Linked DNA regions of Mus musculus. The protein of the gene in region 1 purifies or fractionates together with the protein of each later gene. This does not show direct contact. Links are inferred from orthologs where the notes say so. Each region holds a gene or a part of one and is shown in the gene's direction. Other genes may lie near its edges. The genes, in order: Rbm28 and Rexo4.

What was found.
Region 2: the proteins of Rbm28 (region 1) and Rexo4 purify together in Homo sapiens (affinity purification with mass spectrometry; 3 studies listed by BioGRID and IntAct, with this or other methods). This does not show direct contact. The link is inferred for Mus musculus from reciprocal best matches to the Homo sapiens genes RBM28 and REXO4.

What each region holds. Positions count from the first base shown.
Region 1 is NC_000072.6:29,131,431-29,146,820, reverse strand, and holds part of Rbm28 (RNA-binding protein 28), read left to right. Parts: intron 1-3,157; coding exon 3,158-3,267; intron 3,268-7,194; coding exon 7,195-7,268; intron 7,269-8,182; coding exon 8,183-8,318; intron 8,319-9,177; coding exon 9,178-9,242; intron 9,243-11,254; coding exon 11,255-11,413; intron 11,414-15,044; coding exon 15,045-15,194; intron 15,195-15,390. UniProt on the Homo sapiens protein: Nucleolar component of the spliceosomal ribonucleoprotein complexes.
Region 2 is NC_000068.7:26,947,053-26,962,442, reverse strand, and holds the end of Rexo4 (RNA exonuclease 4), read left to right. Parts: coding exon 1-60; intron 61-1,702; coding exon 1,703-1,840; intron 1,841-2,025; coding exon 2,026-2,219; intron 2,220-3,875; coding exon 3,876-3,964; intron 3,965-6,079; coding exon 6,080-6,154; intron 6,155-6,873; coding exon 6,874-6,948; intron 6,949-7,846; coding exon 7,847-7,966; 3' UTR 7,967-8,880; downstream 8,881-15,390. Other genes in the region: serine/threonine kinase-like domain-containing protein STKLD1, read right to left, coding at 9,052-9,186, 9,408-9,487, 9,652-9,792, 10,693-10,821, 10,895-11,023, 11,761-11,889, 12,278-12,418, 13,015-13,131 and 2 more.

The sequences.
Region 1 (15,390 bases):
CATTGACCTTATTCTGATAAGGCAAAGTATAGCAGTCAATCCAGTGTCCACAGCTTGTGTGGATTCCTGCTGCGGGGGAGGGGGTGGCAGTTTTCCCCGGGGAGCGGTTAGTGTTGCGGTCCAGGTGGAGTCAGCTGCAGTTGTTCCCCATTTGCCTTCTTTGGAGACCTTAACGTTTTCTTGTTAGAAGGAGCTCTCTATTTATTGTGGGAAGTTTTTTATTGAACATTTTAAATGCCATATTCAGCAGATCTCTGAGGAGTTTGAGGGCCATATATTAAGTATACCCGATTTTAGGCTTAACCTTGAAAATACATATGCATGAGGCTAAAGAAAACTTATTTTTGTAAACCATAAATGTAATAAACTTCTTGTCATTACAGAATATGACTTTTGTATGGCCGGCTTTAAAGCTGAAGTCAGTGTCTGGCAGGAAATGGTTAATAAGTTGGGCTGATGGTGAGGGCTTTGGTGGAGGGAGGGTCAAATGAGAGAGGTATCTGATAAGGCAACCATAAATAAATTGTATTGTAGTTCAGTCAACAGTGGAGAATTTGGCTTTAGGAAGGGAGCTGGGAAGAGGAAGTGGAGGCAGTTGTAACAGTAGCGTAGCAGCAGAGGGAGAGCTGGCGTCTGGACGGTAGGTGGTGGGAAATTGGCTTTAGGATTGGAGTGGGCTTGCCATCAGGCTGAACGGAGGGAGCTTTTTGAAGAGACAACGGTGAGGGGGAGGGAGGAGCTGTTAGGTTGCAGCTGGAACAAGTTCTGGGGGCCACAGTGGCAGAAGAGGGAGTGAAGGGTAGGGGTCACAGTAGCCCAGACATGGACATAAAGAAGCTCCAGGACTTCCAAGAAGGACATTGCGCAGGCCCAGAGGGACCCAAGAGAGCTGTCAGACTTAGCAGGCAGCTCATGGAGGAGATAGCGAGGAAAGGATCTCACTGTGAGCCAGACATAGGGCTCAGGAAGCTGCAGTTCCTAGGGAGACTGGAGAGAAGATACGGGGTTGTTACGGAGTGTTGGAGGGCAGACTGGGCTGTGCAGAGTGGCAGGGCTGACGTGGAAATAAGTATAGCTGGGCGGGCAGTTGATGGGTAAGGAGAAGGGGGACCTCCTGTAGTGGGGGCCTGAGGAGTGTAGCATCCTTGCTGAGGTAGGCTCAGGCAGTGTGGGCTGTAGGGAGGTGTGGGTGAGGTAGGCTGCATGAGCAGCCCAGCAGCTGGTGAGCACGAAGTGCCTGCCAGTCAGTACTCCTAAGACTGAAATGCTGCAGAGGCTTACAGTGTCATGTAGGACTGTTCAGAGAGTGTAAGAGTCACAGCACAGGGCTTGGAGCAGCAGAAGGGAAAGCAGAGATGCATTTGGGAGCTAAAGTGCACTATTAATGTGTTTTACTGGTGCAGGAAACATTTCTATCACCAGTGGAGGCCCGTGGGTCTAAGTTGAGAGACTGGGCATCTTCATGTATGTATCTTGAGATCTCTGGGACAAAGGGGTCACAGCAGACTCATGTCACCAAGAGAGAGACCCCAGTGGGCCTAAGGAAGAATCTAGAACCTGTGGACAGGGTTTTCAGAGGCGGAGGACTCCAGATCTTAGCAGTACAACCGCCCAAAGTGAAAAGAAAGCTTTGCTAACCACACAGAACTGAATGGAATGTACTTATCAAGTGTAGGAATGTAGGGAGTTTGGGGGGAAACTCCCCAGTTAGCCACTGTTGGATGGAGAGGAGGGTGTGCATGGGAGATTCTGTAGGCCAAAAGCAGATTTGGCCTCATACCTTCAACAGCAGTCTGCAACTCCAGTTCCAGGGGCGAGCTGTAATAAACCCTTTCCCCACCAGCTTGCTTTTGGTCATGGCTTTATCACAGCAATAAAAAGCAAACTAAGACACCAGCAAGCACTCTGCCAACTGAGCTACATCCCAGCTAGCCTCTAGCTTCTCTTTTAAAGTCATGTCCAGAATACAGAAAGATACGCCTTTTGTTTCCAGGGGAATATACAGAGTGGAGTTAGGTCCTACTGCATTTTCTAGGTCAGGTTAGTTTACTAAATTGTAGGCAGACTGCTGAGTGAGATGGCTTGGTACGAAAAGGCTTGACACAGCCTGACAACCTGAGTTTGATATTCAGGATTTACATGCTGGAAGGAGAGAACTAGATTCCTACAAATTGTCCTGTAATCATCACATGCATTTCATGGTGCACATGCATGTATATGCATACTAAACATTTTAAAAATACACAAAAAGCTTTAGCTTCTCAGATTAAGGATATTCAATGTATGGTTCCTGCTCTTTCCTTTTCCCTTCCCCCTTTCTCTCTCCCCTTCTCCCTTCCCGTTTGCCTAGTCATCTCACCGTGACCTAGTCATCTTAACATGTTTTTCTTTTGCGTTATTTTGAAAGATTTTGCCCTCGTTAGAAAATTTTAACTGAGATCCAGATTTCATATAAACATGGCGGGGAATATGTCTAATTCAATAAAAGAAAAACATGTTTCTTACCAGACTCCCGTGAAAACTTCTGGTTGTAATAAGAAAAACTAATTTCAGCCCCAGTGAGTGAAAGAGAACAGACTGGATGAATACTGGTTTGTTCACAGAATCGGTGTTGTCTAGATGCAAATCTTGAGTAGGCAGTGAAAGTCTGGGAAATTTAGATTCCCGCTGCTGGAGGTTGTGGGTCTTTTCTCTAGGATGCCATCTTTAAAAAAAAAAAATGAAGGCACAAGGTATTTCTGTAAAGTGTATTACTTTAAGGGTACAGCTAAGCAAAGTTTTCATTTATATAGCCACATGATTATCAGGTCATGCTATAGCATATCTGTATCATTCCAGTATCTGTGACACTTCAGTTTCGAAGTTAATGTATCTATATCTGCAGCTTTTAGTTTTTTTGGCTTTTTTTTTGTCTATTAAATTTTAAATTTTCAAGTGACAGAATCTGATATAGGAAGGTTGGGACATAGGGCCAGACTGATAGACCAAGGCTTAGCCACTAGGGGCCGCTCTTGTGTGCTACTGCTATTTTGAAGAAGGGAGAATGGATGTGAACAAGGCAGACATCATTTGTCGATGTCTAATTCATATACCTCAGATCAAAACTCAAGGTCTTGCTTTGTCACTGAAATTCGTGTGACCTGTTTTTCTTCCACAGAAATCTTTCATTTGACTCAGAAGAAGAGGCACTTGGCGAGGTCCTCCAACAGTTTGGGGATCTTAAGTATGTCCGAGTTGTCTTGCATCCAGACACAGAGCATTCTAAAGGTACTGCCCTCGGCTGACCAGGCCCGACATCAGGAAAGAGCATAAACCATGCCGTTCTGGTCGGTACACAGTCTGTTCTGTCTCTGGCTTGGCTTCCATTAAAAGCCCAAGGACATTTTGAGATTGTCCTTCGTGACGTGGAATTCAGCAATTTAATGGCTTTGCCAGCCTTAATTTTGTCTCAGCCTTTAAAGCTCTTGCTTACTTACTTTAAGAAAATGAATTCTATTTGTTGTTCTCCTTTGCATTTCAAATGTGATAGCATCTCATGGGCATTAATCATTCTACATTGCTCAGAATTAATAGGGAACTTTTTTCTTTGATGCTTTTGTTAGAGATAGAAACTGACAGAAACTTTGTTGCATGGCAGCAGTCAGAGGGAAACTATGTATAGGAGTGGTGCGGGAATATTATCCTCATAGTGCTTGTTACTCTTGAGGGATCAGCACTCATTCTAGCACAGGGCTGAGTATTAGTGTGTGAACAGATACACATAGATCGCATTAGCCTGTTTCTAAGCTCTTACCCCATGGACTGCAGCCGTTCTGTTTAAGCTTCCCATTACTCTGTGTTTGCTTTATCCTGACATAAAGAAAGCATGGCTTACTCTGCTCCCATCTCAGAGCATGAAGTCTGTTCTGATGGGAGCACAGGCAGAGCCGCTCATCTTCATGCTGGGCCAAGAAGTCGAGAAAGGGTGGCTGGTGCTAACGGTCTGCTCTCACCGCATCCTTGATTTTGCCCACGCCCCTAGACCATGAAGTACCACCCACCTTTAGGGAAGATCTTTCCCCTTGCTCCTTTTGGAAACATACTCACAAATATACCTAGAGGGTGTGGCTTCGGTCTCCGGGGTGGTTCTCTGCCCAGCCAAGTCACAGGGAGGTAAACCATCATAAGCCTTGAGGTCATCGTTCACTGACTCCCTAGCAGGGCTGTGAGCCCTTTCCTCAGAAAAACGCTGTGTCTGAGGCCTTGTGGCTTCTCAAGAGTTTATCCGTGGTTAAGAACTTCCATTCTAAACCTTACTTTTCAACTGATAGGAATTGATTAGATAAGACTTGGTCAATTTTACCTTTACTCAGTTAAAATAATGTAGGCAGTACTGAACAGCTCCCTGGAGGTAGGGACATTGGCTCACTGAGAGCTCGGCTTATTTGCCTGGTAAGTGACTAGGGTAATAAAATGTCCTCAGCTCTGATGGTCACACCTCAGGACCTTTTTCAGTTCTGGTTTGTTTTTCTGGAATGGACAACTAGAATCTCTTAGAACACCCAGAGTGCGGGCGCGGCACTATTTCACTTTTATCTCTTAGATTAACACTTCTACAATGTAGCCGACAAGTGATTTGCTGGACGTCTTTTCTGTTCCCTCAGTCTTGATAGTTAATCATTTTAAAACCATAATTTTAATTTTTTTCAATGTTCTGTCATTTGCTGGCTCTAACTTGCTGGAATTTTCTGATACTTTTTCTGTGTTCCTTGACAGTTTGTTTCTCTTAGCAAGCCTTTTTACTGCCTAGAACTACCGTGATCCATGACCTTAGGGAGATGCTGAGACTGAACCAGCCAGCACTGATTCTGAGACAGTGATTTCCTTATACTGTGGACTCTCCCTCTCCCTCTCCCTCTCCCTCTCCCTCTCCCTCTCCCTCTCCCTCTCCCTCTCCCTCCCCTTCCCACTCCCCCCTTCTATTTTCTTTTCTTTTCAGACAGGGTCTCACTGTGTAGACCAGGCTGTCCTGTAACTCACAGAAATCTGCTTGCCTCTACTTCCTGAGTGCTGCGATTAAAGGTGTTCACCACCATACCTGGCCTGATTTTCTTGCTATGGGATGACTAGGCAATCTGCCTGTTAGAAATCTTTTACCTCTTCATCCTTTATTTCTTTCATTACACTTGTCCTTCAGTACCCACTGGGTCTTGTTCAAGACCATGGCAAATACCAAAATTTGCGAGTACTCGAGTTCTTTATATAAAATGGCACAGTGTTTGCATATAACCTATGCATACCTTCCATACACTTTCATCTCTAGATCGTATATGTATTAAGGAACAAAAATAAAGCAACTTCCTCTTGGATTAGTTGGGCTTAGTGTAAGCCTGATTTGAATTGTCCACTTGTCTTGTGTCTACTGTCTGTCCCTAATAAAGGACTTTGCCTCATACTAATTGAACAGTACAGAAAGCATGGTATGGGGAAGCAATGAGGGATCTTTATAGAAATCTTTGACAGGAATACTATTTCCAGCAGACCCAGTATAGCAACAGGAGCTATAGTAACAGATGTTACCAGCCCATGTCTACCTGTTGCTTTCAGTGTTTATATTTGTTGTCTAAGATTGCTTCCACTCTGGGCTGGAGAGATGGCTCAGCAGTTAAGAGTTAAGACTGCTCTTCCAGAGGTCCTGAGTTCAATTCCTAGCAATTGCATGGTGGCTCACAACCATCTGTAATGGGATCTGATGCCATCTTCTGGTGTGTCTGAAGAGAGCAATGGTGTCTATTTCATAATATATTTACACCTCAAAACTCAAAAAGAATTCTCTCATATAAGACTACCATATCTCCCAGAGCTAGGATATTATCTTCTGCCGCATACTGAAATGAATGCAGGCAGATTAATCTAAAGCATAGATTAATATAGTAGGCTAACTCAGGAGTCACCATCTAGAGAGATCTTTTCTAAGTCCCCAACACAGGGCCAAGTGTTCCTACTTCTGTGTCCCCAACCTCCCATCTGTTATTCACATACTAACCAGGTAGCATCTTCCACAAATATGAAAGACTTAAGGAATCTGAACCACCTACGACAGCACAGACCACTAACAGAGATAGAAGAAGAAACACACACAGTTCAGCCTTGGAACCCATGGACTACACATCAGTGGAGTCAACCACACACAAAGCAAAAGCACTTGGGGAGAAAGTGGTCCATATTGAACTTGTATGGCCTTTCCATTCTCTATGAACAATGTAACTATTTTATGTTTCATAGGGGTGTGTGTATGATGACACATTTTAATGAAAAAGTCTCTTGCCCCCAAGGAGACTGAATTTTTTCCAGGCCTTGCCATCAAGTTAACAATATGCCTTGAGATCATTTAGAACCATGTACTTAGCCATTTATCCTACTGTATACTCAGCCTCTTTAAGCTTAACTGCTTTAAAGAGAACATGTCACAAACCTAACTGTGCCTTGAATTTCCCAGTCAGGTTTTGCAACCTAAGCTAAATGCATAGCTTTAATATTAAGTTATGTACTTTTCCAGGTCCCTCCTCATTCAAAATAGTAGGTGGTGTGTGTGTGTGTGTGTGTGTGTGTGTGTGTGTGTGTGTGTATTCAATTCCCAGCACCCACACCTCAGCTCACAACCATCTGTAACTCCAATTTCTGACACCCTCACAAACATACATGCAACAAAACACCAATGAACACAAAATAAAAATAAATTATTTTAAAAAACCATTTAAAAATTATTCTAGAGCATAAGCCAACAACTGAGCTCATGACTTTCCCTGCAATATTCATAGAATAGAGGCCTCTTTTACCCCAAGAGATGAATCTACCATTATTTGATGCCTCAGGCATCTTAAGACTATGAAATATAATTAATTTCAGGATTAAATATTTCTAGCTCATCTTCCAGGGTTCTACTAGGCACCCCATGATGTTGAATTAAGTGGTTGGCTGGATTTCTTTATCATTTCCTGTGAGTATCATTAAGGAGATAGTTGGGACCAATTGCCAGGAAAGGCTGTGTATGCTACAGTATCTGGCTATGATCCCTCAGCACTTAACATGGTACCTGTTCCCCAAGTGCTGCTTCCCCTCCCATTTGTGTCAGGCTGTGGGTGTTTTCAGTGTTGTCCTTTGCTCACTGTGGAAGCGAGGGTGTATCTTACTACATTTTGTATCTTTGTACAGGTTGTGCATTCGCACAATTCATGACTCAGGAAGCAGCTCAGAAATGTCTTGCAGCGGCCTCTCTAGAGGCTGAGGTAAGGAAAGCATGTCCTTCCCCTGTGCCTAGAACACGGCAGCTTCTGTAGGCAAGAGCTGATGTCTGCACCAGGTTTTTATTATTATGTATTTTTAATAAAGTGAAGACTTGAGCACTTAATATTCGCTAGGCACTGAGCTTAGCCTGCGTGACCTTAATTCATGCTTTGAGATGATTGCAGCTGCCCATATTTCTTTTTTTCTTTTCTTTTTTTTTTTTCGAGACAGGGTTCCTCTGTGTAGCCTTGGCTGTCCTGGAACTCACTTTGTAGACCAGGCTGGCCTCGAACTCAGAAATCCGCCTGCCTCTGCCTCCCAAGTGCTGGGATTAAAGGTGTGCACCACCACGCCCGGCTCCATATTTCTTAAGTGAGAAACAAATTTGATATTTCTAGTGTTCATTGATTGTTGCCTATGTATCAGCCTCTATTCTACACTAATAACATGAAGACTGGAAGAAGGTATCAATGCTGTCTGTGAACCTGTCTGAGTGTCTGGTAGAGGTAGTGTAGATACTGAGAATCTTTCTGTGCTTTTTAAATGAAGCATTCAGTTTCTGAGATGTTATCCTGTGTTGTCCTTGTCTCTTAAATATTCTTACACAAGCTTTAGAATACTAAACATGTTTACAGAACAATTTCCTCAGTTTAGGCCTACTTTGGGACTGAGCTACTGTAAAGTAAATTCCTTACTGCTGATGCTCTTCAGTACATACAGATGTGACCTTTTGTACAATTGTAAAACCACCTTTGAGCCTCAAGGACCCACGTGTAGCTGGCCAGGCAGATGCGGCCTGGGGCCTGGCCTCCACGGCACAGTGACAGTGTGCTGAGTCCCTTTTCTTGCTCTTCCATGCTATCTGCTTACTTTCTGCTTGCTCCCTGTTTGAAGAGAAGGTTGCAATATGTTTCAGGGTGGTGGGCTTAAACTGGACGGCCGACAGCTCAAGGTCGACTTAGCTGTGACCCGGGATGAGGCAGCAAAGCTTCAGACAAAGAAGGTGAAGAAGCCAACTGGAACCCGGAACCTCTATCTGGCCAGAGAAGGCTGTGAGTATCAGAAGAAGATAGGAACCAGGCCTCTGAGTACCCACCCATGACCTGAGCGCGAACCAGCAATTGTGTTTCAAATATAAAACCCAAATTTCCAAATAAAACAGTGTTTTATTGCTGTTCCACTTGAGTAGATGCGGCTTTGTTAGGAACCGTCACCCATTCTTGCAGGCTGAGCAGTCTCACTCTCTGCTGTCTGGTTGCCTCCGATTATCTACGTAGCAGGATTGGAAGCACAAGGAAGAAAACTCCTAAGTTACTTGCTTTTGTCTTCGTTTCTGATGAGGTGTTTTTGTTTTTAAGTGGCTGAAAAATACAATTAAAGTGACTTTTTTTTTGATTATTGATAGATTTTTAAATGTTTAATAGCTGTAAGTATTTATCAGCCTACTCCTGCGTAGATGCATAGTTCCAGGTAGTAAATTTAGGCTGTCAGCTTTTGGATCCAAAGCCTCTGAGACCATAATTCTGTTCTCTGTTTTGGCTCATCTAATTAATTGCTGAGTGATTGACAGCCACATACGTGAGCACCTCAGTTTCAGGGGCAGCTTGTTGGTGGAACATTCTATATTCTAGCTGCACTTAGAGCTTCTTCCACGCCTTGCTGTCTAACTTGCAGCATGAATGTGATGCTTTTTGGAGGCAGAGAGGAACAAGATTACAAAATGTTCAGTTTGTCTTTAGAGCAAGTCTAAGTCTAGAACTTAGCCTTGTAGCTATTTTCGGACCTAACTAACTGGCCAACACAGTCCTTAGGGTCTAGTACAAAGGGTTTGCATCATTCAAATCACATTCTTCCTATTGCTCAGTGAACATTCCCTTGGTGACATCTTGGCCCTTTTCCCTCTTTCTGCAGTGATCCGCGCTGGGACGAAGGCTGCTGAGGGTGTGAGTGCCGCAGATATGGCCAAACGCGAGCGGGTGAGTAGATGAGGCACCAGCCTTAGCTCTCATGGTTATGTAAGTGAGTCAGAAACAATCACTGCTGCCACAGTGCTCCTGAAGAGCCACGTATAAGGACCACACTTTACCATGTTAGAAGCACATAGGTAAAGGAGAAATGACTGGACAGTACTCTTGCTGTTGTGTCAGCATTCCGTCCTGTTGTCTGAGCTCAGTCTTGCTCTCTGTTTCTGTAGTACGCATGTGTGTGTTCTGAGGAACTGCCGCTAGCTCACTCAGTAGGTGTGGAGAGAGAGGGCCTGTGTATAATTGTTATCATAAATGGAAAACAACAGGATGGAAGCTGAGTAGGCAGGCTTACTAGGAACAAGAGGAGCCTCAATGTTTAGGAGATGGGTTTCAGAAAGAGTAGCCAAGATGCCATTCGGAGGGATTGTATCTCTAAATTAATACAATTATGTGGAACAACTTCCTATTATAGGTGTTTCTACTGTTAACTGACACCTTTGCTGCTTAGCAGTGTTTGCAGTAGTTGCTTACTTTTGTTGTTTTGAGATAGTTCCATGTAGCTCAGGCAGACCTCAATGTGTAGCCTAATATTCCTGAATTTCTAATCCTCCTCCATCTATCTCCTGAGTACTGGGATTACAGGCCCACTCCACCATGCCAGTATCCATGGTGCGAAGTTTAAACTCCAGATGCCGTGTGTGCTAGGCAGACACTTTACCAGCTGGGCTCTATCCTAGCTTATGCAGTTTTCCTTTAAAAAGGCAGCCTAGAGCCAGTGGGGTGGCTCAGTGGGTAAAAGTGCTTACTGCACAAGCCTAGTTGACCTGAGTTGATCCCTAGAACCTACAGTGGAGAGAATCCAGCCTCTAAAGTTATCCTTTGACCTCCAGCACATGCACAGTGTGTACAGAATAACACACAGACACACACCTTATAGGAAAATAAGATAATTAAAGGGTAAAAAGCCAGCCAAGAAGGGAACAACTATGGAACCTTAATGTTCAGGAGATGGCAAGCAGCAAATATGCTATATTGATCGGTGGAAACAAATGTCTTCTCAGCATAGGGTTTTTATAGTAGTATTTAAAAAATTTTTTTAAAGTATTGAATATCTGGATATCATGGTATTTGGGGAAGCAGTGCAATAAGATATACTGAGTTTTAGAACTAATTTTGCTAGCCATAGGTTACTGGATTATTTCCGTGCATTATAAAAAATAAGCTAACTCTAGGAAGGAGGCACTAGAAATCCCCGTTGCTGAGTGGCTGAGGACTGAGCATAAACACTAACTTCAGTATTACTTACAAGAATAGCTGTGCCAAGCCGGGCAGTGGTGGTGCATACCCTTAGTCCCAGCACTGGGAGGCAGAGGCAGAGGCAGGTGGATCTCTGAGTTGGAGGCCAGCCTGGTCTACAGAGCGAGTTCTAGGATAGCCAGGGCTGTACAGAGAATCCCTGCCTTGAAAAAACAAAAACAAATTTGTGCTGGGCACATTTTGAGCTATGTGGGGTTTTTGTTGTTGCTTTGTTTGTTTGTTTTTTGGTTTTGGTTTTTTGAGACAGGGTTTCTCTGTGTAGCCCTGGCTGTCCTGGAACTCACTCTGTAGACCAGGCTGGCCTCAAACTCTTGAGATCCACCTACCTCTGCCTCCCAAGTGCTGGGATTAAAGACGTGCGCTACCACTGCCCAGCTTGTTGTTTTTAATCTCATTTGGCCTCATGTCCATGCCGAGAGTTGAATATTGACCTGTAGTTCCACTTTTATAGATGAAAAATTGAATCTTAAAATGTCATTTGATTTCTCCAAATGGATGACTTTTTGGTTCAGCTCTGACTCTGGAGTTCATGACCATTCGCCTCCCTGGGCCTGCTTTTCTCTCTGCTGGGTACTGTAAGGCAGCAGGCAGGCAGGCGCACTGTGGCCATGGGATGGGGTTACGATTCTCTTCTTTTGGACAGTTCGGAGCCTGCCTAACAGATGTGCTGTATGTTAAGAGCTTGTCTTTTTCTCTTCTCCCAGTTTGAGCTACTGAAACATCAGAAACTCAAGAACCAGAATATCTTTGTCTCGCAGACCAGGCTTTGCCTGCACAATCTCCCAAAGGCTGTGGACGATAAACAGCTAAGGAAGCTGCTGCTGGAGGCCACTCGAGGAGAGAAGGGGGTTCGAATTAAGGAGGTGAGTGATGCCTTGCCATGCACAGCCTTCAGGCACGAGCATTCATTTCAGGCTGTGGTGCCAGCAAGTCAACAGGTTTTCTTCTGGGAACTGTCTGTCTGTCTTTCTTTCTTTCTTTCTTTCTTTCTTTCTTTCTTTCTTTCTTTCTTTCTTTCTTTCTTTCTTCCTTCCTTCCTTCCTTCCTTCCTTTCTTCCTTTCTTCCTTCCTTCCTTCCTTCCTTCCTTCCTTTCTTTCTTTCTTTTTGGTTTTTTGTTTGTTTGTTTTTGTTTGTTGTTGTTGTTGTTGTTTGGTTTTTCAAGACAGGGTTTCTCTATGTAGCCCTGGCTGTCCTGGAACTCACTCTGTAGACCAGGCTGGCCTTGAACTCAGAAATCCACCTGCCTCTGCCTTCCAACTGCCAGGATTAAAGGTGTGCGCCACCACCGCCCAGCAGAGGACTGTCTTTCATATCTGACTAAATTACAGCAAAATGTGAGGAACTCTGTCATGAATTAATTTAGCAAGCATTTATTCAATACCTGCTGTGTGGTCAGATTTATATAAATAATATAATGCAAAGTTTGTTGCAGAGAATACAATTTATATGGTTTGGTTCCTAAAAGAGGGGTGGGGTGTGTGTGTGTGTGTTTGCGTGCATACACATGCATATATTTGAAAGAAAGGGAAAGGGAGGGAGAGGAAGGGGGGGAAGGACAAGGAGAGGAGAAAAGGGAAGAAAATAGGGAGAGGGAGGAGAGAGGAAGTACACAGAGCACATGCAGGGCACACACGGAGATGTCAGGACAGTCCTCACGGTCCCCCTGGAGTCAGGCTCTGGTTCCCTGCACAGCCATGCTTACTGTTCTTAGAGCTTCTGTTTCTACAGAAGCTCCTTATCCCACCACAGGGCCACTGAGACTACAGACACCACCATGCCTAGTGGTTCTTTTACATTGGTTCTCGGAATCTGAACTCAGGTTCTCCTACTTAAGACATTAAGTTAGGGTTCTAATGCTGTGAACAGACACCATGACCAAGTCTTATAAAGGACAACATTTAATTGGGGCTGGCTTACAGGTTCAGAGGTTCAGTCCATTATCATCAAGGAGGGAACATGGCAGCATCCAGGCAGGCATGGTGCAGGCAGAGCTGAGAGTTCTACAACTTCATCTGAAGGCTGCTTCCAGGCAGCTAGGACTAGGTTATTAAAGCCCACGCCCACAGTGACATACCTACTCCAACAAGGCCACACCTCAGTAGTGCCACTCCCTGGGCCCAGCATATACAAACCATCACACAGGGCAAGCACTGTGCCCCTGTGCCTTTCCCCTAGCTCCTACGGTAGCATTGACTGTGTGTTCAATATTACTCCGCCGTAAGCACAGTCTTCATGTTGACTGTGCATGTCTTCAGTTGAGTTAGAAGACTATGAGTTCACACTAGCATTCAGTTCAGCTCTGTCTCTTTTGAAGGCCTTACCGTTTGTTAACCTCTATACTGGCCTCAGACTTGGTGGTTTCTCCAGACAAGCTGAGCTCTTTGAGGATAGATAGTATCTCATTATCCCCAATCCTGGAGATACTTGGCATAATCTGTTCATCTTTACATTTAAAAATGCCATTGCCAATATTGTAGGTGTGCTTTGCTGTTTTATAGCTGTAAACTGTATGCCTAGTACCCTGAGGCCTCTTTAACATATTCCTTGGTATTGAGGAAATAGCATGAGAGAACAGTAATGTGTCAGAGCGTGTCTGACACCACAGTTAGTGGTGAGTACCCACAGTATTTAATGTATGCCCATTTTGAACTCATTACAGTTTAGCGCACTTCTACATTGTACAGTCTATGTTTTGGTTGTGTAACTATTTCCTCTAAGATAAAGCCTCCATCTTGGAGGAAGGTGGGTTGGTAAGCTTAGAAAGGCTCAGGACATTTCTGAGCCTGACTGGATACTCTAGACCTCTTACTCCTCAAGCATATATAAGCGGTAGGGACTGCTAAGACGGACTCTCAAACAGGCTGAAGCCTAGAAGAGGCCCAGCAGCCAAGCTCCTGGGGAGAGGCTGAGACCTGATAAGCCCAGACCATTGAGCTACCCAGAAAAGACACTGACCTGTTGAGCTGCCTTCAGGCTGTGCAGTGAACTGCAGGCGCTCAGCGTGTGAGCTCAGCTCGTGGGCTTCTGGTGGTGGAGCTGTCTTTGAGTCCTTTCTGCTTCTGTAAGTCACCCCGGTAAAGTCTGGCTCGGCAGCTGGCTTTGGTGTTGCCTTGACAAAAGACGGACATCTTTGGTTCCTGTCTTGGGTAGTAGATGTTAGTTTCCGTCTCCCCAGGAATCATGACAAAAGCATTTTATTTTCCCCTTATGTCCTTCATTTGTGAGATGTCTTGAATGATATTTTAAGCGAGTGAGCGTATTGAAGTCAGGAATTCTTTCTTCTCCTCTGCAGTGGACAGAGTAGGATCTATGCACGGAGCCGTTGTACTATGCTTGTGGCTTTCATACTTAGACTCCTCCGCTACAGAAGAACAGCATGCTGCTCCAGGCAGTAATATTGTATAAGTGGTGTATTTTCTCAAATTATTTTCTGTGCTCCTCATGACCCTAAGGATATTTACGGTATCCTGGCATTTAGAGAAAAAAGTGCATCAAAGAGTTTCTGACTCTAACCCCGAACAGCTGAAGCTGCCTGTATTCTGAGGCTTATCCCATGTCAGGACATGTTTTTTAAGTCTAAAACCATCAGGTTTTCTTTCCTCCCGTCTCCATTAATTTCCTTCCTTCAGGGATCGAGTCTTTGGACAGTTCTCTGTTCTCAGCAGTAACATGCTGAGACGCTGAAGAGTCACGCACCTCTCATTACATGCATTATGAACAGTGAAGTATTACAGATTTTTCTCAGGGCATTGAAGAGATGGCTTAGTGGTTAAGTACATACTGCTCTTACACAGGACCAGTTTCAGAGAATCTGTTGCCCTCTTGTAGATTCCATGAGCACTGCATTCAGGTGCACATGCATACACATGGCCATACACCTACACATAAGATTTTAAAAAATACAAAATAAATCTTAAAAAATAAAATACATGTTTTGGATAGCCCTGGGGCTAATTATATTTGATGTTAATTCCATTCTCCTGTGAGTAGCTGTGAACACGGAATGAGTCAACACTCAGGTGGTTTCTTGTAAACCTGCTTCCCACCTTAATTTGTAAAACAAAGGAGAGCTGAAGATTGGGCAGAAAAAGAGGAAGGTGGAGTGGAAAGTTGGGAGAAGAAGGAGGTTTCAGAGAGAGAGGACGCAGAGGCAGAGGGGGATGGGAAGAGGGAAGGCGGAGCAGAAGCCCGTGGCCTGGAGAAACCGCAAGTTCTAAAGGGCAAGTTCATAGGTGGGCAGATCTACCACCACACTACCATCTTCCACATCTGTGAGACCCTTAGATGTGGAAGATGGCAGTGTAGCAGTAGATCTGCCCAACCTAAGTGCACAGCATGTATTTCATATTAATTGAGTTGTGTTTTCATTGCTGGGGCATATTTGGGTTGGAGATTTACTGCAACAAATACATTTTTCTCTGGGCAAACAAATACATTATTTCTTATTCATAACTACTGTTTTGTTTTTCTTTTCTTTCTTTTTCTATCCATAGTGTAGAGTCATGCGGGACCTTAAAGGAGTTCATGGGAAAATGAAGGGTCAGTCCCTGGGCTATGCCTTTGCAGAGTTCCAAAAGCATGAGCATGCCCTCAGAGCCCTCCGCCACTTCAACAACAACCCAGAGATCTTTGGGTCCCAAAAGGTGAGTCTCCTGCTTCAGAGAGACCTGTTTTCCCAGAGTCCCTGACATGTGAGTGGTGGGAAGGAGCACCGGGTGGGCAGGGTGGAGGTGGGGACAAGAGATGGTGAATCTGGGTGAGAGGCTCCTGAAGAGCGAGACTGGGCACACTGCCTGCAGAACTGGCCTTTGGAGAAGACATGAGAAACAGCCTCAAAGC
Region 2 (15,390 bases), on another chromosome or scaffold:
CAAGCCTAAGTGGAAAGCTACGGAGGCAGCTGTTATCTTGAATCAGCCCACGCCCACTGAGTAAGTATCAACTCTGCTGTGGTGCCTGGAACATCCACAGAAACAGGTGATCCACTGTCTTCACCACCACCGTTCGGCCCTGGTACAGTCTTCTACCCAACCCTGTGATATTTGTTTGTTCGTCCCTTGTTTCTCCTAGAGTGTGGGCTGCTAAAGGCAGACCCTATTATACAGATAATACTGTGTCTTTGGGCCCCAGTGTAGAGCTTGGCACAAGGTAAGAGCCAACAAAAACTTTTTCATAGTGTGTGCTGGACCCAGAAGGACTCCTGTGAAACCCAGTCCTGCCTTTTTGCCAATTGATGGCTTTCTTGCATCCTTTTATCCTCAGTGTGGTCATCTGTACAGTTAGGGGGACTGAAGTGCACTATGTGTTGCTTAGTGTCTTTTGCCTGCTTAATGAGCACTGTGATAACACCTAGCCTGGATGGGATATGCTTATAAGGCAGGTTGGCTTCCTGCTGCCTAGGATTTTCCTGCCTTCCCTTAAACCTAAAGAAAACCTTGGTCTGGGATTATACAGTGGAGGGTGCGGGCAAAGGGGAAGGAGAACATTTCTTTGGGAACTGGTATGGGAAGTGTGTTTATGAGAGTTGTGTCAGATCAAGCTAAGTGAGCCCATGACAGGCTACAAGATTCAGCTGCTGAAGGGTAAAGGGACGTGAGTTTAACTGCTTCTGCTGAGTTATATAAGCAGGCTGGATTGGAGAGACTACAAGGCCCCTCCCTCCTAAGGCTGATATAAGCAGGAAAGACACACAGGCATTTTACTTTAGCATTTGTGTGTGTGGCAGGAGGTGTCAGGGTATCCTAGTGAAGAAAGCAAATGAGCAGGAAGCATGCGGCCCATCAGTTGAACCTTTTGAGTAAAGATACTGAATGTCTGGAATTCACCAGATAGCCATGAAGCACCCAGTATCAACTCTCTCATGCTTCCAAAGTGTGCACAGGGTACAAGGCACAGGTCCCTGTCTTTTTTTAAATTTTTAAATTTTTTTTGGTTTTCGAGACAGGGTTTCTCTGTGTAGCCTTGGCTGTCCTGGAACTCACTTTGTAGACCAGGCTGGCCTCGAACTCAGAAATCCGCCTGCCTCTGCCTCCCTAGTGCTGGAATTAAAGGCGTGTGCCTGGCTCACAGGTCCCTTTCTGCCATGCACTCCTCTGCTTGTGTTTCTTGACCAGTAGCAAACCTATTGTGTAATTGGAAAATGCCTGGTCATTATACTGAAGTAGGTTACATGCTTCTGTTTCACATTCTGTTTTATCTGTAGTTCTCCTAAGTCTTGGATAATAGATATATTTGCAAATTAAAAGAACAGTAGTGAGGGCTGGAAAGGTGGCTTAGGGGTTAAGAGTGCTGGCTGCTCCTCTAGAGACCTGAGTTAAGTCTCCAGTGCCAGAGATCCGATGATGCATGCCCTCTTCTGGCCATCAGGCGCCAGGCATGCAAGTGATAAATATAATGCATGGGTGCATGCAGGCAAAACAGGATACAAATAATAAAGGAATGTGTGAGAGCAGATTCAGCTGGACTGAGTGTGGAGTGTAGAGGGGGAGCCATCCTGCCAGAGGTCCTTTCGCGAAGCATCCATCTGTGTCCTGGGTCTTTTCACAGCCAGGCATTCTCATCTTTGTCTCATAGGGAAGACATCTGGTTTGATGATGTGGATCCAGATGATATTGAGGATGCCATAGGCCCAGAGGCAGCCATGCTGGTACGGAAGAGGCTGGGGCAGAAGAAGAGGACCATCTCCCTGGAGAAGGAACAAGCCTTTGGCGGGTAAGCTGAGCTCGGGCCATAGCTGCTGGCAATGTTACTCCTTCTGGGGCTGGGATCATGGGAGGAGGAGCAAGCACTGAGCCATGACTGCCCAGCAGTCATGGGGGTGCAGAATGAGGCTTGGCTCACTGGCCTAGAATCCCAGCCCGTGATATCTATTACACTGGGGCCTTTGGTTCCCCTAGCTTGACAAAAGCCTTGGCCCTGGATTGTGAGATGGTAGGCGTGGGTCCCAAAGGGGAAGAGAGCATCGCAGCCCGTGTGTCGATCGTGAACCAGTATGGGAAGTGTGTTTATGACAAGTACGTCAAGCCAACTGAGCCAGTGACTGACTACAGGACAGCCGTCAGTGGGATCCGGCCTGAGAACCTGAAGCAGGGTATGACTGATGTCCATAAGATTTGAGTGTAGTGGTGGAGATGGTAGCAGGACTCGTTTCTCTTCAACTTCCCCTTCTGTGTTCCAGAACATGGCATGGCAGGGGTCCTGACACTGCTTAGCTCTTCCCCAGACTTTGCAGATACAAAAGGAAAGATACCTTTCCTGGCTGTTGTGCTGTTTGTGTCCTGGGCTCTTGGATTATTTTCTGTCTTGTGGCAGTAGGGAATAAACTGGAGCATGTTAGGAACCAGGAGGGAAATCTTGAAGAGTGAGTAGGCTACATGGTAGGAGCTGGGAGGACAGATCACAGGGTCTCTTTGGGAAATTAGTGCAGTAATGGCAGAGAGGCCTCCAGCAGGATCCTTGTGGTCATGACATTGAGTACAGGGTAGGGGTCAGAAGACTGGTTCTGAGGCAGGAGCTAGGTAGGGAGGTAGCTGGAAGAAATGAGCCAACATAGCAGAGGGAGGCTGGGTCTGATTTATAATAGGCGAGAACATCTAGGATGCTTGAGCCTGCCTCCTAGGGAGACCTGGAGACCACTAGGGATGCAACCGTGTTTTTTTTTCCCCCGTTCCTCACCACCCACTGCCTGTTTGCTTCTCCTGGTACCCATGGCTAACATAGTATCTCTGTTGTTCCATAAACCGTAGGCTGGCCAGCCTCTCTTTCTTTTTTTTTTTTTTTTTTTTTTTTTTTTAATTTTTTATTAGGTATTTAGCTCATTTACATTTCCAATGCTATACCAAAAGTCCCCCATACCCACCCACCCCCACTCCCCTACCCACCCACTCCCCCTTTTTGGCCCTGGCGTTCCCCTGTACTGGGGCATATAAATTTTGCGTGTCCAATGGGCCTCTCTTTCCAGTGATGGCCAACTAGGCCATCTTTTGATACATATGCAGCTAGAGTCAAGAGCTCCGGGGTACTGGTTAGTTCATAATGTTGTTCCACCTATAGGGTTGCAGATCCCTTTAGCTCCTTGGGTACTTTCTCTAGCTCCTCCATTGGGAGCCCTGTGATCCATCCATTAGGTGACTGTGAGCATCCACTTCTGTGTTTGCTAGCAGCCTCTCTTTCTATCTCAGAAGAGAGGTTGGTCCTTTAGCTCTGAATAGAGCTGGGCAGTGAAGTAGTTTTGGGGCCCATTCTAGTAGAGGTGGGGGCAGGGTGGTCCTCGAAGGCTGTCAACTGGGAAGGAGCAGCACAGCAGACCCTAGGGTCTGTGCAGCCTCCTTTGCACTGTCTGGTTCGCAAATCCAGTCTGACTCTACTTAGGAAGTCATAAGTATGAGAATGGGAAGCCTGTTGCCAAGTGTCCCTGAGATAGTCTAAATGTTCCTGGACTTCTAGGTTAGCAGTAGTTTGCTAACTGGTACCAGTCCACTGACTGTGATTGGCTTTGAGTGGAGTTCTTGTCTTTTTTCCAACTGTCTCCAGAAGTGGGAGCAGAGCACAAGGCATAGTGGGGTGCCTCCTAGCCCTTCCACTTCCCTGGAAAAATGGACACTTCTAGGGACCTACCTCCCACCACAGCTTTGTGTATCATGAAGGGCCTGACCTGTTGTTACCAGTCCGGCCAGGAATGGAAGGAACTTCCCTTAGAATCTTAGTGAGTTATGTGTTGTTAATCATTTCTTCATTTGGTTTTCAGGAGAAGAGTTTGAAGTTGTGAAGAAGGAAGTGGCAGAAATGTTGAAGGGCAGAATCCTGGTGGGGCATGCGCTACACAATGATTTAAAGGTGCTGGGCTCTTCCATGTGAGCCACACAAGCCTTACATCCCTGTCTCCAAAAGCACTACTCTGGAGGCTTTTTCATTTTGATTTTTTATCTAGACTTGGGATTTCTCTAGGAATAGTGTCAGGTACCTGATGTCTGGCTGTGTTCAAGAGACCACATTAGGTAGTTTTTGGAGTCCCGACTACATTGGGGGTTTCAGTGCCAGAGTATTGACAGCTCAAAGTAGGGGAGTTTTGAATGTCACCTACCTGACATGGCAGATGGCCTGGTGTCTAGCTGTGTGCTCCAGGGCCAGAGACAAATCTATGCACCCTGTCAGAGCCCTAGGGTTCTTGTTATGTGTCCAGTTTATATCTGGGCATTGCTGCGATGCTGGAAGCCCACCTACCTGGGTTTATTAAATGGATCACTTTAAGTTCACAAGCAAACTGCTGCCTAATCCATTTGAGGGTGCAGCAGGAAAATGGGAGCATAGTCGACTTGGCAAAAGGGACACCTCTGTTGTCACCTGGTGTGGTAGACTCCAGAGACAAGGTTTCTTTGTAGCCCTGCTGTCCTAGAACTCACTAAGTAGAACAGGCTGGCCTGGAATGCAAGAGATCCACCTGCCTTTCTGCCTCCTGAGTTCTGAGATTAAAGATTACTTATTTTTCTGTGCATTGCTGTTTTGCCTACCCTATGTGACAGTGCCAGATTTCCTGGGACTGGTGTTGTAGACAGTTGTGAGCTCCCTTATGAATTCAGGACATTGAACCCAGATCCTCTGGAAGGGATCCAGAGCAGCCGGTGCTCTCAACTGCTAAGCCTTCTCTCCAGCCCCAGAGATTCTAATGCCAGACATCAGAGCCTTGCCGGGTACACCAGGAGTTACACAATGTAAACAGATCTTGTTTAATCCTTTGAGGAATAGGCTTTTGTGGGTAGCAGAGCTAAGTGTTAGGGGGTTGGGAGCAGATTCCAGGGGAGCAGTGGATATGCATTCAGGGACTTCTCCACGGCTCCTCAGCATCCCAAGTTTCTGAGTTGAATGTTGCTGCCGCTTCAGCTATCCCTATAGGAAGGGAACTGAATGGGCACGTGCTTCCTCAGGGTGTCATTCCAGCTAGTCACCTCCTTTAGAGGCCAGCCACAGCCAGCCAGTTAGGTAACTGAGCTCAGAGGACTCTACCGAGTGCTAGGGCATGTGACAGTGGACCTTGTCCTTCCTGGATGTGATCTGTAGTGCCACTGTATTCATGTGTTTCAGGAACCTCTAGATGGGAGTTTAATTCTCATTCAATTATTTGGGGCTAGAGATGTATGTAGCTCAGTGGCAGAATGCGTGCTTCGTGTGTAAAGGCCCAGGGTTTCGTCCCAGCACCAAAAAAAGAAAATAACAAATGTTCCAACAATTAAAAATTAACCAAAGTCAACTGCTCACTGATATGATGAGTCACCTTGGAGAAGACTGCCACCAGGGCCACACCTGCCTCCTCTAGTGGGTCACTTTTTTGGACCGTATGAGTCTAGAAGTGTGTTACATTGCGGGGTGAGCTGTTAGATCTCACGTCTTGCTCCCCCATGTGAACAACCAGCTCAGAGAAGTCAGCTGCAGGTTGACTTTTTCGCAACATCGTTGATGTCAAGATTTTGTTTATTTTTCATTTATTTATTTATTTATTTATTTATTTATTATGATTAAGTACACTGTAGCTGTCTTCAGACACACCAGAAGAGGGCATCAGATCTCATTTCATGTGGTTATGAGCCACCATGTGGTTGCTGGGATTTGAACTCAGGACCTCTGGAAGAGCAGGCAGTGCTCTACACCACTGAGCCATCTCACCAGCCCCTATTTTTCTTTTTTGAGACAGGGTCTCACTGTATAGTCCTGGCTTGCCTTGAACTCACAAGAGATCTACCTGCATCTATCTCTAGAGTGCTAGGATTAAAAGTATGCAGCACACCTGTTCAAGATTTTATTTTTATTAACATGGTTCTGAATATTGGGCATCGCCTTAAGTCAGGGAAATGACCTTGCGAGACTGCTTCTTCCTGAGTGTTAGCACCCAGCGGTGCCAGCCCTGTGAGACGCATTGTTACAAACTGAATGGAGATACTTGTCATTTTCTTGTAGGTTTTGTTCCTTGACCATCCAAAAAAGAAAATCAGGGACACTCAGAAATTCAAACCATTCAGGAGTCGAGTAAAGGTACGGAATGAATGAGTCTTGGGCCGTGAGTAGCCCCTGGCACTGACCCCTCTGGCTAAAGGGATCTAGTTTGTTTTGGTTTCTCACTTTAACCTTTAAGAGTACTTGTCACTGAAGTCTGGCAACCTGATTTTGATCCCTGGAACTCCCATGAAGGCAGGAGAGGTTGTCCTCAGATATGGCTCAGTGGTACTCGGTACTCTTGCAAAGGACCTGAGTTCAATTCTCAGCACTCAACGTCAGGTTACTCACAATCCCTGTAACTCCAGTACCAGGAACTCTGACCTTCTCAGGCCCTGCAATTATGTGCACATGCCAACATGCAGCCAGACATACCTATATATAACTAAAAAGAACTTAAAAAAATTAAGCCAGGTGTAGTGGATCACACCTTTAATCCCAGCACTAAGGAAGTAAAGATAGGCGGATCTCTTGAGTTTGAAGCCAGCCTGGTCTACAAGGAGAAACCCTACCTTTAAAAAAACTAAAATAATTAAAAGCACTCTACCACTTGGAATATTGCCAGCCCCAGCTCTTCCTCTACTAGCTGATGAGCAATGTCATAAGCCATAGCAGGCTGATGGTTGCAGCCGTAAGTGCCACATACTCCTGGTGAAAGGGAGAGTGCGGGTCACTCGAGTGTGCTCAGGCGCCAGCTGTGTCCTCTGTGGGCACAACCTGTGGAAGCAACACATTCAGTGGAATTCTTTTCTCTACAGAGTGGACGACCGTCTCTGAAACGGCTTTCTGAGAAAATTCTGGGGATCAGGGTCCAACAGGCCGAGCACTGCTCAGTGAGTATCATTGGGTTACAGCCCCTGACTTTTTAACACCTATGGTTCATTTGACCATAGAAACAGGAAAGGACCCTAGGCAGAGCAGGCTTACAGAATGTTGTTATATCTTACATATTTACATTTCACTTGAACTCAATACAAAGAATAATATAGAGTAAGGATTTGGACAAAATTCACCAGTCTAATTGAAGGCTGTTTGTATACTTCCAGTTATTGAGTAATAATACCTGAGGTGGGGACTTCATGGTAATGAGGCTTAGCTGATTGGAGAGAGGCCAAGGAGGAAGGAGAAACAGGTCACTCTTGGCAGAACTGACTGGTGCCATTTGACCTCCCACTAGACCCAGCTCTGAAAGGTCCCACTCCCCTTCATTGCCACACTAGGCTCCTGCGTGAGGGTGGAACCTTTCCAAACCCTAGCAAAGGAGCTTTAGGACTGTATGATTTGAGGTTCTCGGTCCTAACAGGTCCTCCTGGCCAGGCAGTGTGCTTCAGGAGAACAGGTTCCCCTGTGCTGTAGCCTCTGACTCTTTGAACCCTTCTGCCTGTCTCAGCTGTTGTCTGCTGTGAAGCTCCAGCTTCCTCCTGCTGTGGGGCCTCCCTTTCTGCCCCTGTAAACAGAGTGGCTGAGTTTGAAGCACAGGAAGTTAGATTCAGATTCTGCTAAAAGTGGTGCCCTGACCATTTTGTATGGTTTTCTCCTTCACTGCCCTTCCATAGTCACCCAGGGAGAGAGAGAGAGGGGTGTGTGTGTGTGTGTGTGTGTGTCTGTCTTGGCTTTGCAGCCTCAGTAGTGTGGCTGTCATGAAGACTCAGTAGTTGTAGGGTTACTTCTGTGGCTGTAGTCCTGTGTTCTCACTAGCTGGCTGGTGGAACATTACTGTCTGTCACCCAGATCCAGGATGCCCAGGCAGCAATGAGGCTTTACGTCATGGTGAAACGGGAATGGGAGAGCAGTACTGCAAACCGGCGTGCCCCAGCTGCCACTCCACAGCACCGCATCAAGAACTCTTAGCACCATCCTACTGCTGTCGCCACCACCCTGTCCGTCAGAGACTTCTCAATCCAGTGGCAGTTGGGATGGGGTTATGAGGCCTGTCAGGTCTATGCACAGCAGGGACTCTGTCTTTGGTGAGCTTTCTCAGAGCCATGGCTGCAGGCATGTGAGCTGCGGGAACTTCCTCCTGAACTACCCAGGGCCTAATCATCCAGCACCTGTGTGTTGAGGTAGACTGGTCAGATACAGGGCAGAAGTCAGGGGTGTAGGTTCGAGGAAGGAGAACATCATTGGAATGGAGGAGAGTGCTGCAGAGTCTATGTCTGCTGACCACCTGTGCTACCACTTAACAATGAGCATAGCTGGTCTCAGCCAGGGCACTCAGCACCTTCCCTTAAGGAGCAAGAAGCGCCTTCTCTGTCAGGTAAGGGGATAAGCTCTGCTGGATCCAAGGGATCCAGGCTAAGGGCGTTCAGTCTGCTGCAAACCAGTCTGGCCAGCACAGCAACCGCCCATTGAGGACTTTCTTAAAGCTACTGGGCTGGAGGTCCTTTCCCACTCCTTTGTCCTTTGCTTGGCCTAAGATGCCAATGCCCCGCCATGTTTTCTCCAGAGAGTCCTTGGGGTGAGCCTTGGGGCACAGGTACACTCAGAGGTCTGAGAGCCTACCATGTGGAACAGTGTAAGCAGAAAGGCCATCTTCCCACTGTCCTGCCAGCAGCTGTTCTGGGTAGCAGCAATTGCAGAGTGACCAGTGAACTTTATGGACTTAGCTGACAACTCCTAGAACATGTGCACCCATGCATATGATGACAGATGTCTGCTTTTAATGCAGCTGTGGACTGAGGTGTGGCTCAGAGGACACTTGTTCACTAAGTGTAAGACCCTGGTATCCTTTCCTAGAACTGTCAAAAATAAATGGATGGATCAAATGGAGTGTGTGGAAGTTCATGTTTTTTCCCATCATCAAGGCAGGACCACTGACAGCAGGCCAGGCATGCCAGAAACAGCCTAGGGCTTCTTTTATTAGTCACCATGGGGTACGAAATTAATACTGGACCTAGTGATACTTTCTCTTACCACAGGACCAGAAGGGCAGCATGTCAGGGCCTGAAGAGGGGCTCTCCCTGCAGTGGGGCTTCCTGCCCTGCAGGAGGCTCAAGCTGATCCTCCTGGAGGCCAGGTTGTGCATTTGCTTCCAGTACCTGGAGTATCTCATCAGCGTAAGAAATCAGCTCCTGGAAGGAGGAAACGAGAACCATTTGCTACAGTGGCCTCAAGATCCGGGAGCAATTACTTTGACGACATAAATCCTACTGATGGGATCTTTCAGGTGGTCTGGCTGCACTTCCCATTTGGGATTGGATTCAGCCCAGTCACAGGGAAAGGCATCATGTGGAGCTATGAGTCAGTGCAGTGCAAGGGTTCTGGCTCGATACAAGGTGTCATCATCACTTACCAGGCTGGAGGTAAAGCGCCCCCGGATCACCTGGACTAGGTCTTTGATGCCTCCAGACTCCATCTCTGGCAGGATCTCCTCTGCAGGGGAGCAGAGAAGATGGTGAGGCTAAGGATACCCGCTCACCAGCCAGTTACGGTGCCACTGACTCAGAGTAGATAAGTGGCAAGGTACAGGGGTTTGAGACCAGGCTCTGGGGCTCCTTCCCTTCCTGCCACAGAGAGGACAAGGTAAGGGTCCTCACTGTAGGAGGTCAGATGGGCCAACAGCATGCAGAGGTTCTCCACCACCTCAGGGTCATCCTTGTAGAGCTTGTAGATATCTTGGATGAGGTGGAGGCCGCTGCTGCCCTCTTCCAGTACTACTATTCGGAAGGCCACCAGTTCTGGAGTAGGGAGGCAAGGAGATTTGTGTGTATAATATAGTCCAGTATAGCTCCTTTGCAGCCACCCTTATTTCTCAGCTCCCTGTACTCAGTGTCCCCGGGAAGTAGCATGACTGGTTGTAGGGTTGCTGGGAGAGCTCTTCTGCCAGGAGCCCTAGCTTTCTGTAAAGGAAGCTCCTAAGTCAGGGCTGTCCCCTGCTCTGTAAATGGTAAGAGGTGTTTGCAATACTTGGCTTCTCTGCAGCTCTGCACTTGTTGGCAATGAGCGCCACGCCCAGGGGAAATACAGTGCTTATGTTCCTCTTCCCTGCAAGAAATGGAATGGAGGCCTCGGTGTGGTGCTGTGGAGAAGGGGCTCCTGTGCAGGTGGCCCTCTCACCCTGCAACAGGAGACTGAAACCTCCCTTACAAGGTACTTTGTTTAAGGGTGTCAAGAGGAAATAAGATTCCCAAGTGCCCTTCAGGAGACCCCACCAGTTTGAGTAGCCCAGTCGACTGTCATGAGTAGAAATGAGCAGGAGTGAAAGCAAGGAGACAGCCCTGGGAGCCCTGAAGGACCCGGGTGGAGTGGGAGCATTCCTACCATATGCTGCTCGGGACCATGGCCTGCCCCTGGGCCCAGGGTTCTCTACAAAGAAAGACTGCCAGTGCTTAGTATGAGACCTGGCATAAGCTTGAACTTGGAGATGGACTGATATGTAGGAGACTCATGTGGCTATAGGATGTGTATATAGTGGGGGTGGGGGGTAGACATAAGACACCAAACGTGGACAAGTCCCAGTGGTGTTTCCTGGAAGCTATTTCTTCCTGTTCTAGTGTGGGGTCACCAGGTGAACATCATTGGAGGGAGCTGGCTTTTGTTCCACCCCCAGCTGGCAGCTTGACTTGTCCCAGACTTACCGGACACCTTTGCGAGGCTGGCCAAGCCACGGAATGCATTGTTCACCAGCAGTACTCTGCCAGGGCACAGCTGGATGCTTCTCAGGAGCAGCACTACCACCTGCTCAAACTGACTCTCCTTTATGCAGCCTACAAAGAACAAGCCTTGTTGTCTGTGTGTCCAGGGTCACCCTCCCTGTTACCAAGGCCTCGGGCTACTCACCCAACAAGGACAGCAGCCAGAGCACCGCACAGCCAGCCTCTGCTATTTCCACGTCCTCCGGATGAGTAGCCAGCACCCAGGTGACCATGCCAGAGAGCTGCTCCAAGGGCTCTTTGTCCACAGTGACAACTAGACCCAGGACAAAGATGGGGACACCAGGCCAGGTATGAACAGCAGCACCAGCTGTCTGTGTGCCCCTCTACACTGTTCCCTCCCACCAGAACAACAGAGAATCAAGTGGACATGAGGGAGATGTCCTCAGAGATGGAAAATGGGGCTTTCCACTGCCAGAGTTTGCAGTAGAGTCATCAATAGAGATGGGGACTTTCAGCATTAGTGGCATTAGCAGGATTTCTGTGGTACTTTGGGGTTGGCATGGCTTGGAGCTCTCTTTCCTTGGCAAGATAATATCTAGAAGAGAAGGTCAGGCCTAGAAACCCCCATTCAAAACCCAAACCAGGATAGGGCCTCAAATGCTCTAGTGACCTCTGGAGTCAGGGGCAGCCTACTCATTGGACAAGGTGTTCTAACTTAGCCCACTAGTGTCTCACTGTGCCCTCTTTGAGCCATGGGGCCTAGGATTGCCCTCCTATGCTTAAGGAAGATAGAGAGCTGCAGTTCTTAACCTGTTCTTCACGACAGCTGGTACACTTCATGTTGTAGTGACCCCCAACCATAAAATTATTTTTGTTGCTACTTCATAACTGTAATTTTGCTACTATTATGGACTATAATGTAAATATCTGTGTTTCCTGATAGTCTTAGGCAGCCCCTATAAAAGGGTTATGCCTGTGGGGTCAAGATCCACAGGTTGAAAACGGCTCTAGTAGATCTCATGTAGTGGGGCTTATGCAGGAGTGCCTCACCATCTACCAGGAGGGACCAGAGCAGGCTCAGGATAGAGAGGCAGATGTCCCTGTCCTCTTGGAAGTGCTCCAGGTTCTCTTGGGCAAGCTGAAACAACCCCTCCTCTTCCAGCTCTTCTGAGATCTGTCCTGTAGGCAGCCATAAACACTTGGAGGGGAAGTTTCCAAGAAGCCTTCCCCAGCACTACCTTTTCTCAGTGGGCTGATGCAATACCTAGTCTGCCTGGCTGGTCTACTTTAATGCCTAAGCCTAATACCCCTCTCGCCCAAGTGGGCTCAGTGTGGGTGGGGAAGAAGTCTAAGTGGCCCAGTGCCTAGCCTTGACTTGACCAGCTAGCCAGCCATTCAATTCTTGGCCACTGTCCCGAGTTTCCAAGCAGTGCCCATGGCTGCCACTCAGAACAGAGAACAGCGTGGCTATCCATCTTGGGCATGGGCCCCTCTCCTGCCCATCTCCCAAGGCCTCTATTCTGTCCCTGGCTTTTTAGAGCAGAAACAGAGCAAAAGGCCAACACACCTTGGCTGGAAATAATGGCAAGCACGTTGTAGACCACATTAACAAGCCTTTCAGAGTTAGGATGGCTCCGCAAGGTATCCATCAGGAAGGAGATGATCAAACTGCTCCTTGGGATCTCAGCTTCTGGGTCCTTTGCCAGTGCTGATTGGGCCAAGGAAAGAACATCAGTCAACCCACAGCTAGGGCTCTAAGATGGAAAGGTGTCCTCCCTCACTGGGAATAACATCACCTCTTGGAATTAAAGTGTTTATGGGCTCTTGCCCAGTGGTACAGTGATTGCCTGGCATGCAAGAGGACCTGGATTCGACACACAGCCCTGAGAAAAAGACCTAGTCTGTGTGGAGGTTAGGCTCAGTATTAAGACTGGAAAGGTAAAAGGGTAACGAGGTGCTCCAGGCTTAAAGATGGCACTAGGTAAGTTCTTCAGTGTAGTGCTGTCCCCTGCTGGCAACCACATCCTCCAAACCTTTCCTGGTCAAGAAAGCCCAGAAGACCAACCTATCTAACTCCTGTGTCATAGCTGGGGAACTTGTCCAGGGTCCCAGCAGGCTGCATCGGGCCCCATGTAGACCCAGTATATACAGACTCAACTATGCCCTCTCTCACTCTGAGATGGAGTCACATAGGCACAAAAGGGAACAACAGACTGGAGAGGCAGATGCTAGGGATGGGTGGGAAGTTGAAGGAACTGAAGAGACAGAGGGTCTGGGAGGGAAGAGCTCCTCTACCCTGCCCACCTTGGCCAAGAACACGCAGCAGAAGGGAGCAGGTGCTGAGCAGAATATCCAGGATCCGCCCATGCTGCTTTATGATGCTGATCACCTCTTCCAGCAGCTCTGTGGGCCATGGCAGCCCTGTGGAGTACACAGCATAGGGGGAGCACAGGAGGAGCTGGACTGTGTGACCCAGACATGATACCCAGAGGATCCAGGTGGGTGAACCCAAGGGCAGAGAAGGGTGACCAGCACACGTGTTCATAGAATACGAGCAGTTGATCATCTGCCAAGGTCTACCTTCTGGGTTGTCCAGGCTAATTTGGAGTTCCTGCGCCTCAGCCTCCAGAGTAACAGACCACAGGTACATGACACCGTGCCCAGCTCTGCCAAGGCATTTACTTGGAGCAGCCTCATGAAACAGGTCTCTGTTTTCAGCCCTCACTTTCAGAACAAAGCTGAGAGGCAGTGATGAGCATTAGGCACTGCAGAGCTGTGTAAACTCAGCCTGACTGTGTGACTCCAGGGCCTGTGGCTGCGACTGAGCTGAGACTTGGATTGTGCTAAGGATCTTACTGGTTCCCAGGAAACAGCTACAGCAAACCCACTCTGATGAGGCTGAGCAAGAGGCAGCTCTGGGTGGTGGGTGAGGCCCACTGTTGGGCATTATAGCCCATTTCCCCAAAAGGCAAATCTACCTTGTCCTGGACTTTATCTTTGTCACAGTTCAGCTATAAAAGGGACTTTGGGAGAGTAATGGCCAATATGAGGGACCTGTTAACTCGTTAGGGGTCATCTCAGTCTTCTAGTAATCTCCACTGCCCTAGCCACCGGGACAGATCTTTGGTGCCCTTTGGATGTGTTTTCTGTATGAATAGGTACATAATTGGGCAGGTATGTAAACAGGAATGGATAAGGTGAGTGGGTGAAGAGATGAAAGGTTTCAGGAAGGAAAGAGTATATGGATGCCATACAGGTGTGATATTTGAGCAGGAGAGACAGGAAAGCACGTTTGCAGAATTTCCCAAGAAGCTTAATACCCATCGAAAGCAATGCTGGGAAAGAGCTGTTCTCAAGCAATCTGGTAGGGGGCCAGGTTGGTATGCCTATGAAGGTTGGTGTGGTGGTTTAAATATGCTTGGCCCAGGAAGTGCACTATTAGGAGGTGTGGCCTTTTTGGAAGAAGCGTGTCACTGTGGGGATGGGCTTTGAGACCCTCCTCCTGGTTGTCTGGAAGATAGTCTTCTGTTTGCCTTTAGAACAAGAAGTGGAACTCTCAGCTCCTCCTGCACCATGCCTGCCTGGACACTGCCATGCTTCCTCCTATGATGATAATGGGCTGAACCTCAGAACCTGTAAGCCAGCCCCAATTAAATGTCCTTTATCAGAGTTGCTTTGATCATGGTGTGTCTTTACAGCAATGGAAACTCTACGACAGATGGTATGTAGTGTTCACACTCTGATATCCAAATGTACATCTGACAGGCACATACAGGCAGAATGCCAAGTGGCTGGTATGCCAGGTGATCAGTCGTAATGCTGTTTATAAAAGTAGAAAACAAGAAGCAACTCAGATGCCCACTACAGAGATGATGGGGCAGGTGTGATGGTGCATGCTTGTAGTTGCAGGTACTTCTGAGGCGGAAGGGTCACAAGTTCAAGGACTTTTTGGACCACACATCGAGTTTGAGACTACTAGCATTGGCAATTTATACTTTCTCAAACTACAAACAAACAAGAGCTGGGGAGGTAGCTCAGTTAACCAGCATTGCACAAGGTCCTAGGATCTACCCCTCGTACCACCATGTCCCTCCCAAAAGACTCTTTTTGTTTTTTGTTTGTTTGTTTAACAAAACAAAACAAAAACCCAAGCCTTAACTCCCTATAGATCAGGCTGGCTAGCTCTCAATCTTCTTGCCTTGGCCTCCCTGATGCTAGATGGATTTCCTGTTGACCTGTTGAAACCATGCAGAGTAGCCAGCCTCTCTCCCACCCTCCTCTGCTAGTAAGCACAGAATCAATCAGTCCCAGTTAGTAGTCCTGGCCAGAAAAGTCTGTAGTAAAAGGTTGGCAGTCGCCACCTCCCAGCCTTTCCTGGAGTCTGAGGAAGGCACAGGACCTTTACCTAGCTGGTCCTCTGGCATTGTCAACAACTTGTTAATGGCTCTGAGCTGGACCTCTGGTCGACTGGAGAAATTCTGCATGACATCTGCAGGGAGAAGGAATGGAGAGCCCAACTGAGGACCAAGCCGTGGAGGAGCAGACCCTAGCCTTGCAGCAATCAGGCCACAAAGTCGGTGCTCTCAGCCTCACCTTTCAGAGGGTGCTCTGTCCAAGAGACTGACTGAAAATCAAACCCAAGTCTCTGCGAGCCAATCCCTGAGTCACAGTGCCTGCTGT